3 linked regions of the Saccharomyces cerevisiae S288C genome follow. Changing the gene in region 1 together with any one later gene gives a genetic interaction. Each region holds a gene or a part of one and is shown on either strand. Other genes may lie near its edges.

Region 1 (4,152 bases):
GTATTGCCAGAAATTATTCTGTCTTTATTTCCATCAGGGCTCTTATTTGCTATGTGGACGTTAATGCTTTCCTCTATTTCATCCGGTTTATCAGTGGCGCCATACAACTATCATTTGGTCATTATTGGTGTGTGTTATCTACCCGGTGGTATTGGCGGTTTAATGGGTTCCTTCTTCACAGGTAGAATTATTGACATGTATTTCAAGAGAAAGATCAAGAAATTCGAGCAAGACAAAGCTAACGGGTTGATTCCACAAGACGCAGAGATTAATATGTTCAAAGTCCGTTTAGTTTGTCTTCTGCCCCAAAATTTCTTGGCCGTCGTAGCCTATCTTTTATTTGGTTGGAGTATAGATAAGGGCTGGAGGATCGAATCTATTTTAATTACTTCATTTGTCTGTTCATACTGTGCTATGAGTACATTATCAACATCAACTACGTTATTGGTCGATTTGTACCCAACGAAATCATCTACAGCAAGTAGTTGTTTCAACTTTGTTAGGTGCAGTTTGAGTACCATCTTCATGGGTTGCTTTGCCAAAATGAAAGCTGCGATGACTGTAGGTGGTACTTTTACATTTTTATGTGCGCTGGTATTTTTCTTCAACTTCTTAATGTTTATTCCGATGAAATATGGTATGAAGTGGAGGGAGGATAGATTATTGAAACAACAAAGACAGTCTTGGTTAAACACCTTGGCAGTCAAAGCCAAAAAGGGAACAAAAAGAGACCAGAACGATAATCATAATTAATTGGCATTCTTCAATTTGATAGACACTTATCCCTGCATATTTTTTTTATAAACAGCTTATAGACTTTCATGTAAATTTTTCCTAATTAATGTATTATTTACTTCGTTAATTTTCCGTTGAATTATTGACATGTTAAAGGTGCACTAAATATACCTAATACAAAAAATGGTTTTCTGTGGCAAATATATACAGTGGAAATTTCAGCATATAATCCCTGCTTTACTCTTTCCTTAAGATTTCGTCATAATTAGAACTTTTTTTGGTAAACTGCATTTTCTACCATTATTACTTTACATATGTATAGCTACAAAACTGTATTTTGAAGTGAAAAGTATGATGAATAAATGAATCGTGAATAAGTTGATCTTTTTTTATCAAGAAAATCATTGAGATGCACATTGAACACCTTCGCCACCTTGTTCTTCTTCATCGGAATCATAGTTTGCACCACCCCTGGAGGCCCGTGTTCTGTTGTATTTGGCTGGGTCAAAGTCTGCGAGTACACATTCGTCCACAGTAGCTTTCTTTGGAATGGCTGGGACAATTCTTGGAGGCAAAATTTCTTCTAACTTCTTCAAGTTTTCTTCTGATGTGAAATGGTTTTCTGGGAACTTGATAGTAAATTTGATGATTAAATTACCATAGCCACCGTATTTTGGAATTGGCATACCTTTACCTTCGATGACCTTACGCATACCTGGGGCAATAACTTCACCTGGAACAATACCGACCTTTAACCAATCACCAGAAACATGTTCCAATGCAAATTCACCACCAGCGATAGCAGTCAATAGATCAATTTCAGCCTCATATACTAAATCATCACCATCTCTCTTGAAGCTCTTGTGTGGTCTCTCAGAAACTATGAAGACAACATCACCTGGAATGACATCTGGGGCTTGGTCAGCTTCACCTTTGAAAACGATTCTTTGACCATCTTTCATACCTGGTTCGACATGGACTTCTAGGATCTTCCTTTCGTTTTCAACTTTCTTACCGTTACAAGATTTACAACGATCCTTAGGATCAATGATATCACCAGTACCGTGACAGACATCACACTCTGTTTGGAATCTTTGGATCATTGGACCCATTTGTCTTGTTACAAATTTAATACCTTGACCATTACAGCTGGTACACTTCTTGACGGCGCCTTTCTTACCACCACGACCTTCACATTCTTTACATAGGATCTGTTTGTTAAGGGCTAACTTAGCTGTCCTACCCTTATATAATTCTTCAAGTGAGGCAGAAATTTCATGCTTGATATCTTTACCTCTTTGGGGACCTCTTGGTCTTTGTGCGCCACCAGCACCAAAGAATTGGGAAAAGATATCGTCACCAAAACCGAATCCACCACCTGGGAATCCGCCAGCGCCACCAGCACCACTTAGACCATCTTCACCAAATTGGTCATATATATCTCTCTTTTCAGGATCTGATAAAATTTCATAGGCTGCTGAAGCTTCTTTGAACTTTTCTGCAGCTTCCTCACTTGGATTCTTATCTGGATGGTATTTTAAGGCGCATTTTCTATAAGCTTTCTTAATTTCGACATCAGTGGCAGTTACTGGAACACCTAGAATATCGTAAAACTTAGTTTCTTTAACCATCTTTGGACGTTTATTATTGTTGTTGGAAGATGTAGAATTCAGTTTGGATAATTTTTAATTATGTTCTATCAAAAGATATGGTAACAAATAACAAAAAAATAAATACGTAACAGTTATCAAATAAGACGCTTGTTCGGGCCTAATATATATGGGGAAAAGGACTTTTTGTGACTTTGATTTATAAAAACGAACTACACACCTTATCAAACAAGAACTACCTAACCAACATATAAACGTAGAGCAAGTTTTTACACGTTTTATAAGTACGTGGATTGATCTGCAAGTTAAATACTTTCCATACCTGCCGATGCTCTATTGCCTTTTCATTTCTTGAAAAAGAAATGAAAAAATTTTCTATTTTTTCGATGGCCTTCTATAATTTTGTACGAAATATTATAGGTCAGGTGTATATCACGTGCTCAAACCAGCGACTTCACATCTTATTTTATACCAACATACTCATTATAACAATGTATTCCATAGTTGAATACACACAACTCAAACGTGTATAAACGACTTTATTTTGCCGACTCTCTACGGTCAATGTCTTGTTACGTTTTCAAGTGCTTTTAGAAACTCTGCACTCTCTTCCCCTTAACTCGTAGACAAGGAGCGATAGTTGAATGGTAGGAACGAAAAAGAAACGGTTAGAAAGAACATATGCCTCGAATATCTACATCATTGATAAGAAAAGCTTCGAGAATACGACCTGGTTTGCATCTTTTGCTTCCAGAATGTAGGACTCTCGAGCAAGCGAAACTCGAGTACAAATGGCTCACCGAAGAGCTGCCTCCGGATAAATCAATCCGCTGGGCTTGCTTACAGAGATACAAACACGTCCCATTGCAGTACATCTTAAGATCGCAACCGTTTGGGGCCTTGGACATAGTTTGCAAGCCTGGTGTTCTTATACCAAGATGGGAAACCGAGGAATGGGTGATGGCCATAATAAGAGCTCTAAACAACTCTATGCTTTCAAGGCATACTATACCACTGCATATTTGTGATACGTTTACAGGAACAGGGTGTATTGCTCTCGCTTTGAGTCATGGTATAGCAAATTGCACGTTCACTGCCATTGACGTGTCAACAAGAGCAATTAAGTTGGTTAAAGAAAATATGCTGAAAAACAAGGTGAGTGGTGGTAAGCTCGTGCAACATAATATATTGTCCTCAAAAGCTAGCGATGAATATCCATCCCATATAGATATATTAACCGGTAACCCCCCCTACATTCGAAAGCGTGACTTCAATAGAGATGTTAAAACTTCCGTAAAGCTGTTCGAACCAAGGCTAGCGCTAGTGGGTGAGCTTGAATGCTATATAAATCTAGTAAATTATTGGCTGCCGAAGACAGACTCCTTCTTTTATGAGATTGGAGACGTTGAACAGTTTAATTACGTGGAGAGGCGCATTAAAGAAGATTCATATCTCAGCCGTATTTGGTCTATTGGTTTGAAATATGACTCGAATGGGAAAGCAAGAGTCGTATATGGGTTTAAGGCCACTCCCAAAGGGCGAATACTACACCAGATTTTTGCATCCTTTGGGACTATAAGACATTTAGCAACCGCACTCAGTGGGCACAAAGCTAATTGCAACTAAGTATATAAATGTAAATATATATATTCTCAGGTTTTTTTGTTGGAAGTTATCAAACGGAACACTCTGTGGACATTTATATTTTTTGTTTCTTAGCTCCATGTTCAGCAAGCTTTTCACTGGAGTCAGCTGCAGTCGCGTTTTCCGATACAGGTTCAGGAGCAGGGATGACTCTGTGACACCA
Region 2 (5,387 bases), on another chromosome or scaffold:
CAGAACCTCGCGTTCACTATTTTGCAGTTGAGAATAAATCTGAAATGAAGGCATGGCTGTCAGCCATAATAAAGGCCACTATTGATATTGATACAAGCGTCCCTGTCATTAGTTCATATGCCACACCAACGATACCTCTAAGCAAGGCACAGACGCTATTGGAAGAAGCTAGGTTACAAACCCAGTTAAGAGATGCTGAAGAGGAAGAGGGAAGAGATCAATTTGGATGGGATGACACCCAAAATAAAAGAAATTCTAATTATCCAATCGAACAAGATCAATTTGAGACCAGCGATTACCTGGAAAGTTCAGCATTTGAATACCCTGGTGGCAGACTTTGAGAACTGCAATCATTAGTTACTTCTTGACCAACTTAAACACCTTAATAATTAATATTTAATAGAACATAATATAGTGATATAAAGTATATAAAAATAAAAAGTTTACGAATTAATACAATCAAATTAGACACTGATACTATCAAGAAGTACATCGCAGGAACCGCAGACATGATGTCCTCTTCTTTCAAATTACTGGATATATATATTATTATTATTGTTACCATTAACGTTATTATTATTAACTATTACTATTACATTAACTTAAAAATAAATATGAAACAACGAAGAACAAAAAGAATTATGAAAACATTTAACATGTTTCAATTTGTTATGTTTTGGCCAACCTGCGTTTATTCTTGCATATGACATTTTTGTAATTCATCGATGATAACTTGGTTACCCTTTGGATCCAAATTCATAGCAACAGTTAGCTCCTTGATTGCATCTTTTTTCCTCCCAACTATTCTATATGTTTGACCCAGCAAATAATGGGCTGTGGCATCATCAGGAACGAGTTTCACCAATTCTTCAAAAGTTTGCAAAGCAACATTATATCTTGTCATGGAATAGAGCAACTGGCCCATCTTATATTTGGATAGCGAGGAAGTCGGTTGCAAATGACATGCTAGTTCATAATATTGTAGAGCCTTTTCCTTATAGCCCAGCTTTTCTAAAGAACCACCGCAACAACAGATTAACACAACATTGACGGGATTAATTGACCTTGCCTTTTCAAAATATAACAACGCTTCTTCATATTGACCTAATTTCATAGCGCTCGTACCCAATCCGTAATATGCATTGTAATGCTGAGGATCACAAGCTAGCGCCTTTCTATAGCATGTCTTGGCAGAATCCGAAGAATCGTTGGAAGAATGTTCATGACCTTGCAAAGTATACGCGTATGCAAAATTTGGGTCTAACTGAGTAGCTTTTTCGAAGGCTTTTATTGCGGCATCATGATCCTTTTGCAATGATAGCAAATTACCTATACAACACCATGTTTCGGGCTTATTAGGCATTGTATCCATTAGCCCATTTGCCAAATTTGAAGATTTAACCTTGTCATGCAAATGCCACAGCAAAGTAGAAAAAATTTCCATATCTTTTACCCTTGCCGGTTGTAGGTCTTTCAATCTATTGAAATACTTTAAGGACATATCATAATTAATGATCTCAAAATGAAGTTTTCCTAATTGCACTAGACACCATGGCATTGTGTCTTTAATATGAGATGGGATTTGAGACTCGAACAGTCTTATTGCCTTGAACGAATTGTATTGTGATGACGACCTTAATATTAAAGCGAAATTATACATGATTTCAGGCAGCGTAATTGAATAATCACTCGTTAGTATTGAGTTACTGATTATTAAAGACCTTGGATTTTTCTTGGAAGTTGTTAACCTTCCTGTTGAGGAATATAGGTTTCTTGGAGTTTTGAAAGTTGTTTTATTTATAATGTTATTATTATTATTATTATTATTATTATTATTATTATTATTATTATTATTATTATTATTATTATTGTTATTTTGGTGGTTCCTATCGTTATTTAACAGTTTCGATGGAGGAGTCGTTAAAAGTTTGTTTCTGTTATAAACTTTGGCCAACGAGCTTATTGTAGGCTGTTTGGAGGATGGAGACACTAAGTTCATGGAAATGTTATTTGGTAGCGCAGAAGACGTCTTACTGTTGATTGCAGGGTTTTTAGGAGTTTGAGTATTTTTGTTCTGGCAGGTCCTTATTGATGTGTTCGCTTGTTGCTGCTGTGACCTTGAGAAATGCTGAATGGAAGAAAAAGAAGATGCCGATGTAGAAGGGGGAGAATTAGACGACTGAAACAGTGTATTAACATTATTATTGATATTATTATTGCCGTTTTTGTTTGTTTTTGAATATAAGCTAGGTTGTGAACGAGGTTCGAAATGCGATAGTGATGTAGACGGAAACGATGAAGCTGCATTATTATTATGACTATTACTTTTTTTCCCTGCAATGTCGAAAAAAACCCTCTTGAGATCCACGGTAGCTCTCATTTTACAAATCGCTTCGTAAGATTCCCAAAGGTAAGGATTAATGGCTAATGCTTCAGAATGATAAAATGCTCCCTCCTTAGAATGGTCCAGTTTCATATAAAGATTGCCTAACAGGCAATTCAAAGTGGCCAAATCGGGAATATGGACGAGATTAGAATTCAACACCATATTTATGCGCGTATTACTGCTGTTCGAAGAAAATACATTTATTATTGAGAGAAGAGTGAGGATAGCTTCGTTAACTCCCTGCGAAAGCTGTAAAGCACAACGCCCGAATATGTAAGCGATACCAAGATGATACTCCTTGAATTCTTTGGATATCTGGAACGCAGTGTGGTAGCTTTTATTCAGAAACAGCGAAAGTGCATATAAATATACCGCATCGGACCAGTAAACACTTGATTTATCGAGAATGGAGCATTCAGCATAGAGCAGTTCGGCCAAAAACTCTGCGGTACTGTAGTTCAACTGCTGAATAGCCTGCTGAATGCAGTCCTGAAGCTGTATGATGGTGCTCAAAGCTTGATCATCAAAGCTGGGGATTCCTCTCGAGAGGGTGAACGGTGCTAACTCAGGATTTACCGCCATGCTATTTTTATTATGTATCCTGCACGAAAAGTTCGTGTCGATTTATGAATAGATATGCAGTCACCAAAACAGAGTCTAAAACTCTCACAGCTAGGTATGGTTTTTTGATAAACTTTTCTGTGGCACCTTTGCTTGCACTTTGATCCTTTTGGTTTACTTTCAGCCTGTTCCATCCTTTTGATCAAAAAAAAAAAGGAAAATCAAGCGCGGGTAATAACGGCACCATTAAATACTAGTAGTACTATATAGATGGTATAAAGAAATGATTTAAAACAATACGATTATATGATATTTATACATCTGTTTCAGTTGAGCTTTTTTTCCATAGAGCTGGTGGTACGAAGATGGCTTTTGGCGAGGGCGACCGAACCAGATAGCTGCGTCAAGGCCAATAGAAGCAACAGAACAGTATTCAATGCCAACAATAGCGTGCTTGCTTGTGAGTTTGGTGGATAGGAATTCCAGCACCACTCGTGCAAGACGTACCAAATGGGACCAACGAAGAAGGGCATTCCCGACCAAAAGATCAGTATAGGCAAAGTCCAGTGATACCAGGATAGAAACTGGTAGTGGAGGGACCTTGAAAATAGGACGCCGATGAAGTTGGATGCGATTAGAACGAATGGAATAGTCTTGGCGGGATTGGCATTGAGCACTGCATTTTTCCTCAGCGGATGGCACAGGGAAGACCATAAATCGGGCAGGATGCGAGGGTATCTTGTGACGAACAGTGTGGTGAGCGCTATCAGGTGGCTGATTAAAAGGGCCAAGTGGAACCTCTTATCATTGAAAGCCTCTTCATCCATCATTTGCCAATTGATACTCCATTGGTACATAAACTTCCTGCCGAAATTAAAAGCGCAATGCAGGTACTGTTGCGGAAAGCTGCGCAGGAAGGGCACTGCAACTGCGACTTGCCATGCAATCATCGCAACGAGATCCAACAAAGTAAGGATTACGTTCGCGTCATTAAGGATGAATAGAGAAATCATCATTGCAGGGAAATACAACAGCGCATTCATCTTAATGCTCACAGCCATACTGTATGTTGCGGAGATCACCAGCGCAAGGGACTTCTTTAATTTGGGGCGCTGATGGCACCTGCTGGCCACGATAGCCCCCAAAACCGTGACGACCATAAACAAAGTAGTGAAGCAATCATTGAATAACCGTAGCACGTAAATAGAGTGCAATCTTTTAGAGAGGCACGCCAAGACCACACACCACGGTGGTAGATGTAAAAGGTAGTAACACGCCATTTGTAACGCCAGTGTAAGGAGATACAAGTATCTGAAAAACACTTGCCCGCGCTCAACGTGGTCCATTCCCTCTGTTAGCCAGTACATCATCTTGTAGATCAAGACGTGGCCTGCTGGATACACCAGCGGGCCCGTTCCACCACTCACCTGAGAGTAGTCCAGCATGCCATCGAGCTGAATCATCTCGATCTGCTCCATGTACGCCTTGTAATCGATCTCTGTGTAAGCTACCTTCTTAATGATAATCTTGCACAGCATGCTTTCGAACAAAATCAAAAGGGGCATAACGATAAGATTGGCCCTACAATCGAAGATCACGTAGCGCACACCGTCCTTGAGATCCTGCCACAGATCCAGCGGAGGTCTGACAAATTGCTTCCTTTGCAGAGACTTTTCACCTTGCGGAGACTGTTCACCTTCCATACTACTAGTATCTAACTCTTTCTCTCTCCCATACACACTCTATGATACTGTTTTCACTCCCAACTAGTGTACTGCGTTGTTCTTTAAGTTCGATAGCGAAATTTCTTTAGCTTGTTTACAGCACCCAGCAACCGCACACAGAATGTGACGGCAAATGCATTTTACATGGAAGGCTATCTACAAAACAGCAATAAAGAGTCATGTAAGATTGGGAAATCTCTAATGTGACATTCCATACTTGTTGCAACAATTTTGGGATGCTTCTGCGTCGTACGACCCTGTATTTACCTTCTCTAGCTCATCGCTTCCCAGGGTCCACGTTAATTTTTCAATTTTTTCTTGCGTGTCGAAGATTCAGGTCTCGAGAAATTTGTCAAAAATTTTTCACTAGATATTAAGAACTATATACATCGAATAAGATGCCAGCACAGAAGAGATAGGCAATCAGTTTAGATACTACAGACACTATCCAATAGTGCAAAGCAAAAGCAGCATAGAAAAAAGAGAATCCCGTTTCCAGCTTTTTCTCTTTTTCCCATTCGTTTTTCCTGATCTTTTTTTCTGCATCGTGGCACCTAGAACAAGAGGTACCTTCCATCCTTCGCTTAATATTTGATACGACTTTTTTGATTTCCATTATTATTATTTGTTACTATTATTATTTATCATTTGGGTTTCGGTTTTTTGTAATAATTTTCTTTTTTTTTTTTGGCTCTATTTCACTAAGACATCGTATA
Region 3 (5,716 bases), on another chromosome or scaffold:
AGAGTCATTGACTAAAATATACCCAGAATTGTACAAAGAATTGACTGAAGGTAAGAGCTTATCATATAAGACGTTCTTTGTTTGGGTTCTATTATCGCTATTCCAAGGTTCTGTAATTCAATTATTTTCTCAGGCCTTTACGAGTTTATTAGATACTGATTTCACAAGGATGGTTGCTATCAGCTTCACTGCTTTGGTTGTAAATGAATTAATAATGGTTGCCTTAGAAATCTACACATGGAATAAAACAATGCTCGTCACTGAAATTGCTACTTTACTATTTTACATTGTATCGGTTCCATTTCTTGGCGATTATTTTGATTTAGGTTATATGACTACCGTAAATTACTATGCTGGACTTTTAGTTATATTACTCATCTCGATCTTTCCTGTCTGGACGGCAAAGGCAATTTATAGAAGGCTACATCCTCCAAGTTATGCAAAAGTGCAAGAGTTTGCCACTCCATAATTCAATTGGTTTGGATTTTTCTTGTTGCTTCAACGGATTATCTTAAAAAAATCTATCATATTTCAAAATATAAATTCTTATTTTTACAAAGAAGATATAGATTATGCATAATATTATTTTGTTACATTTTTTTTCTTTTACTTTTTATTTTCTTTTCTTTGTACTTCCTCAAATAAGCATCTTTAGCAGGTTAACAATAGCAAATATCATGTCCAGCCCAAATCACATAATACTTTCCACTTCACTTTCACTATCTGTTTCGGGAGACCTATCATCCACGGTATTGACAGTTGGTCTTTGGAAATCAGTTGCATGTGCCCAAGGAATGGATCTCGAAATGTTCTCAAACACGGAGGACCTTCTTCTGAAAGTCCCACGGTAAGCGGGCATAGGTTCGGCAAAACTGTGAGGATTATTGTCATGTGAAGGCGTGATAGGTATGTCGTTAAGTGATGAAAAGGCTTTTGAACCCAAATCACTACTATCCATAGAATCATCACCGACCTGCGCAATTGGATAAGGCAGAGGAGCGTCACCGGTAACCCTGAATAGGTGAACATTGGCAACATGTTCATTTTCGACTCTGAAGATGATCCAAACGAATCTTCTTAAAACCTCCAAAAGGGCCAATATAAACGACGTCACAGCACTCTGCTGAATTGTTTGAGGAGCAATTGCGTATACAATCCACTCAAATCTAATGAGGATATCCCAAATCATAGCAAAGTAATAAACTAACTTCCTACTGAATGAATAACTGCCGTTTTCCCAATTTTTTTTACCAGCTAAATACAAGTCGTCTCTTAGCAACCAATTGTAAGAAGTAGTATTGTGAGCAAAGGACCAATCCATAACTAAATCCCAGGCGGAAGTAAGGATCGAATTCAACGTAGCGCACACGATAAAAGGGGTTCTCCTTTGTTCAGAACGGTCTGACAATCTGTAAGCACAAAGTGTGGCATTATACGCTATACCCAAAGTGTATTTCGCCGCGTTCAAAAGATGAGGGAACCAATCACCGGAATCAGCAAATCTTCGTAAACATTGCATGAATCTCCAATAACTTGGTAAACATGATAAAACACCCATTGCTCTGGAATGTGAAGAGCCACATAGATTGTTGGGCGTATGAGAGTAAACACAGAAGAACATGGCAATATCGGCAATAGAATACGTCAACGAACAAATAATATCTCCCAAAAAGAAATCACCAAACTCAACAGGGAAAAAACCAGACATCATCAGTCTAATAAGAGTAACCACCAGCCATTTTCTAGTGTGTACAACTTTGTCCCAATATGGAATTAGACCAGAGGGACATAAAAATAAGAAAGACACAATACCAATATATAAAAAGCCTAAGGGTGTGAGCTTCTCCAAAGCGAAACTTAACATGGAACAGACCGCACAAGGTACTATGAAGAATGTCAAGAAATACAACTTGAGCGGAATTTTACTCGTGGCAAAATCATTGTTGAAAAATTGCGTACCATTCTTGGATTGAATCTCACCCAGCATAATAAATCTATAATTAATCCCGGTTCTATGCCAGATAAAACAATTAACAAGAAAGAGAAACGCGATCAACAAAACCATGTACCAACCACCCCACAGTGGGAACAGAATCTTGTGCGTAAATGACGTTTCTTCAGAGCTAATGCCCAAATACAAAGTGTAAGTGATCAAAGTCATTGACACACCTATGCCCAGCCCGACAACCAGCATCTGCACAATCGATCTGTTGTTTCTATGAACCATTTGTTCGGAGATAGAGTACTGAATGGTCAATTTCTTCAACTTATGGGTATTGTGCTTCCTGTCCTTAGGCGAATTGGTCAACGCAGTGGTGAACCACTCGGTGATCTGCGTTTCCAACCAAGTGATGGGCTCTTTGTCTCTTTGGGCGGAAGAGAGCTCCGAAGTGGGTGTTGGTTGCGAACTGGTTATTTGTTGCATCTTCTGTGCCACCAACTGCACGTTGGCATCCGCGTGCTTGAAAAGGGTGTAGTGGGTCCTGGCGTACGACATGAACGTGGTCAGCTCTCTTGTGTGACACGTTTTGTCGAATTTCTTGACCATTTTACGGAACCCGGTGACGTTGATATCCCGGAACGATTTGACCAATTGCAAGTACAGATAGTACTCGATTATAGCGTTGCTTAACAAGTTTCTAGCCTGGGTTGTCGTCATAGTCTCCAGAAAAGAAGCGCCAAAAGCAAACGTCTCGCGGCCTCTTGAGGACGCATCCTGTCTCAAGTCCTGTAGCAGAGAAAATCCACGTTTGGGCCACGATGGCAGCAGCCTATTGTCCTTAAGAACTTTCTGACAGTACGCTAGCAGCGACAAACGCGGCTTCTTGGCCTCTTTGGTGCAGGGCATTGACCCATACATAACAGACCGGCTATCGCTGTCGATGCTATTGACCCTGGAGTCAGAACGACCAGCAAGCCCTGCCGCATATAGACTCGTGGACATGTCAACATTCGAACTAGACCGGTTCAAGTTGTCGCGCTCATAATTCTTCTGCAGCGAGTAATAGTGCAGTTGCGACTGTAAAACCTCAAACTTCTTGTCGCACTCCTTTAGCAACCAAAGGTAAAACTCGTTACACTTACTCAACTGGAACGAGATCAACCAGTCTTCAATGAAGTCAGCAACGAACTCCCTCTGCAAAGCAGAATAGTCCTTCTTGAACGCAGGTCCGGAGCGATAGTCTCCGTCGCTGCGACTTTTGCCGGGCTCTCTCTGCTGAAATGCAGTCTGGTATACCGACACAGAGGGCATCCAGCTCCGGTAGGAGCTGGATTGCTCTTCTTCGGCATCCAGCTTCTCCTTGTAGCGGCGAAGCTTCTTCTTGCCGACCTTATAATCAATATATTTGTCCCTCCATTCCGGGATGGCAGACTCGGTTAGATGGTCAGCAAACTTCATCTGATACGGTGCTATGGTAAAGCCCTTCCATTGCTGCCAACTGAATTAAAAAAAAAAAAAAAATAACTACCAACCATCAAATCAAACAAAACAAAACAAAAAAGCAAAGGAGAAAACCCATCTTGTACATGTACAGTCCCAAACTGTTGCGAAACCGTGCGATGATGTTCATGGAACTTGCGTCAAATAAAACCGCATCCCGTCCCACGTGACAAACGGCACCCAAAATCCGTTCTAGAAATGCCTCACACCCACACCGATGATGGGCTTCCGACTCGATGACTACCAACACATAGCCAGCCGCAGCGGCTGGCAGCATGTGCATGATAATGATAAGTGATGATGAATGATGGTGATAACGATTTTGAACAAATGGCTGCAGCGATAGCAACTAAGGGGATGGAAAGACAGATCTGGGAGAGATAACTGCAGGGTGTGGCACGGCAACACAAGGCTATTGTATTGCACTAAACGGGCAAGAAGCCATGATGTGCGTCTGTATCCCAAAAAAAAAACTAATGGATTGGCGCGTGTACTATATATATTCATATGTCGTGTGTTTGTATATGTGTGGGAGTGATTGTGCGTGTATATGTGTGTTGGCGTGTGTGGTACAATGTGTGTGTTTTAATGTAGAAATGAGGTTGTAGCACGTGATCGGGAAGCCACAGTTTGCGCGGAGATATTTTATTTTTTTTCATCAGCGTAAGAAGAAAGCAACCTTGCAGTCTGTATCGTAAGAGAAGACTGCAGTTAAAGAAGTTTAGAGAAGAGGCTTGAGTATCGGTAAAGGGGTGTGTGTTTGGTGATTTATAAAGGAGAAGGGCATGAGGAGAGAGAGGCAAAGGATGATGAGTTTCGAGGACAAGGACAAGGACGACCTTGACAATAGTAATAGTAATAACAGCAGTGAAATGACAGATACGGCGATGATGCCACCATTAAAGAGATTGCTTATTACGGGCAGTAGCGATGATTTGGCACAAGGATCATCGGGTAAGAAGAAGATGACGATGGCGACGAGGTCGCCATCGTCATCACCCGATTTGGCGACAAACGACAGCGGCACTAGGGTACAGCCATTGCCAGAATATAACTTCACCAAGTTCTGCTATCGGCATAACCCGGACATTCAGTTCTCACCAACTCATACAGCGTGCTACAAGCAGGATTTGAAACGAACGCAAGAGATTAATGCTAATATCGCGAAGCTACCCCTGCAGGAGCAATCCGACATCCACCACATTATCTCGAAGTACAGCAATTCCAATGACAAGATACGGAAGCTGATTCTGGATGGGATCCTATCGACGAGTTGCTTCCCACAGCTTTCCTACATTTCGTCACTCGTTACACACATGATCAAGATCGACTTCATCAGCATTCTGCCGCAGGAGCTGTCGCTGAAGATCTTGAGTTATCTGGATTGCCAATCTCTTTGCAACGCCACGAGAGTGTGCCGCAAGTGGCAGAAGCTCGCGGATGACGACAGGGTATGGTACCACATGTGCGAGCAGCACATAGACAGGAAATGTCCCAACTGTGGCTGGGGGCTGCCTCTTTTGCACATGAAACGTGCGCGGATACAACAGAATAGTACAGGATCTAGCAGCAACGCAGATATCCAGACGCAAACTACGCGACCTTGGAAAGTCATCTACAGAGAACGGTTCAAAGTGGAGTCAAACTGGAGAAAGGGCCACTGCAGGATTCAGGAATTCAAGGGCCACATGGATGGTGTGTTAACGCTCCAGTTTAACTACAGGCTTTTGTTCACAGGCTCGTACGACTCCACCATAGGTATATGGGACTTATTCACGGGGAAGCTAATACGAAGGCTCAGCGGCCATTCGGACGGCGTCAAGACATTATATTTTGACGATAGAAAGCTGATTACGGGCTCGCTCGACAAGACGATCCGTGTTTGGAACTACATAACCGGTGAATGCATTTCCACGTATCGAGGCCACTCGGATAGCGTTCTGAGCGTAGATTCATACCAGAAGGTTATCGTTTCCGGCAGTGCTGACAAGACGGTCAAGGTATGGCACGTGGAGTCCAGGACATGCTACACCTTGAGAGGCCACACGGAATGGGTTAATTGCGTCAAATTGCATCCGAAAAGCTTTTCATGTTTTAGTTGCAGTGACGATACCACAATCCGAATGTGGGATATCAGGACCAATTCATGCCTAAAAGTGTTCAGGGGTCATGTAGGGCAGGTGCAAAAGATCATACCGCTTACCATTAAGGATGTAGAGAATCTAGCCACCGACAACACTTCTGATGGCAGCTCTCCGCAGGATGACCCAACAA

Evidence for each region.
Region 2: mutations in YDJ1 (region 1) and CDC27 together harm fitness more than expected from each alone (negative genetic interaction), as found in Saccharomyces cerevisiae (2 studies listed by BioGRID).
Region 3: mutations in YDJ1 (region 1) and SYG1 together harm fitness more than expected from each alone (negative genetic interaction), as found in Saccharomyces cerevisiae (2 studies listed by BioGRID).

What each region holds. Positions count from the first base shown.
Region 1 is NC_001146.8:504,732-508,883, forward strand, and holds YDJ1 (type I HSP40 co-chaperone YDJ1), read right to left. Parts: upstream 2,367-4,152; coding exon 1,137-2,366; downstream 1-1,136. Other genes in the region: AQR1 (Aqr1p), read left to right, coding at 1-753; MTQ1 (S-adenosylmethionine-dependent methyltransferase), read left to right, coding at 3,027-3,971; tRNA 1-methyladenosine methyltransferase subunit GCD10, read right to left, coding at 4,045-4,152. UniProt on the Saccharomyces cerevisiae protein: Probably involved in mitochondrial protein import. Is also required for efficient translocation of pre-pro-alpha-factor. Involved in heme regulation of HAP1, as a component of the high-molecular-weight (HMC) complex.
Region 2 is NC_001134.8:66,478-71,864, forward strand, and holds CDC27 (anaphase promoting complex subunit CDC27), read right to left. Parts: upstream 2,969-5,387; coding exon 692-2,968; downstream 1-691. Other genes in the region: BOI1 (Boi1p), read left to right, coding at 1-341; ALG3 (dolichyl-P-Man:Man(5)GlcNAc(2)-PP-dolichol alpha-1,3-mannosyltransferase), read right to left, coding at 3,274-4,650. UniProt on the Saccharomyces cerevisiae protein: Component of the anaphase promoting complex/cyclosome (APC/C), a cell cycle-regulated E3 ubiquitin-protein ligase complex that controls progression through mitosis and the G1 phase of the cell cycle.
Region 3 is NC_001141.2:264,424-270,139, forward strand, and holds SYG1 (Syg1p), read right to left. Parts: upstream 3,401-5,716; coding exon 692-3,400; downstream 1-691. Other genes in the region: aminophospholipid-translocating P4-type ATPase NEO1, read left to right, coding at 1-469; YIL046W-A (uncharacterized protein), read left to right, coding at 3,886-4,050; ubiquitin-binding SDF ubiquitin ligase complex subunit MET30, read left to right, coding at 4,228-5,716. UniProt on the Saccharomyces cerevisiae protein: May function in G-protein coupled signal transduction.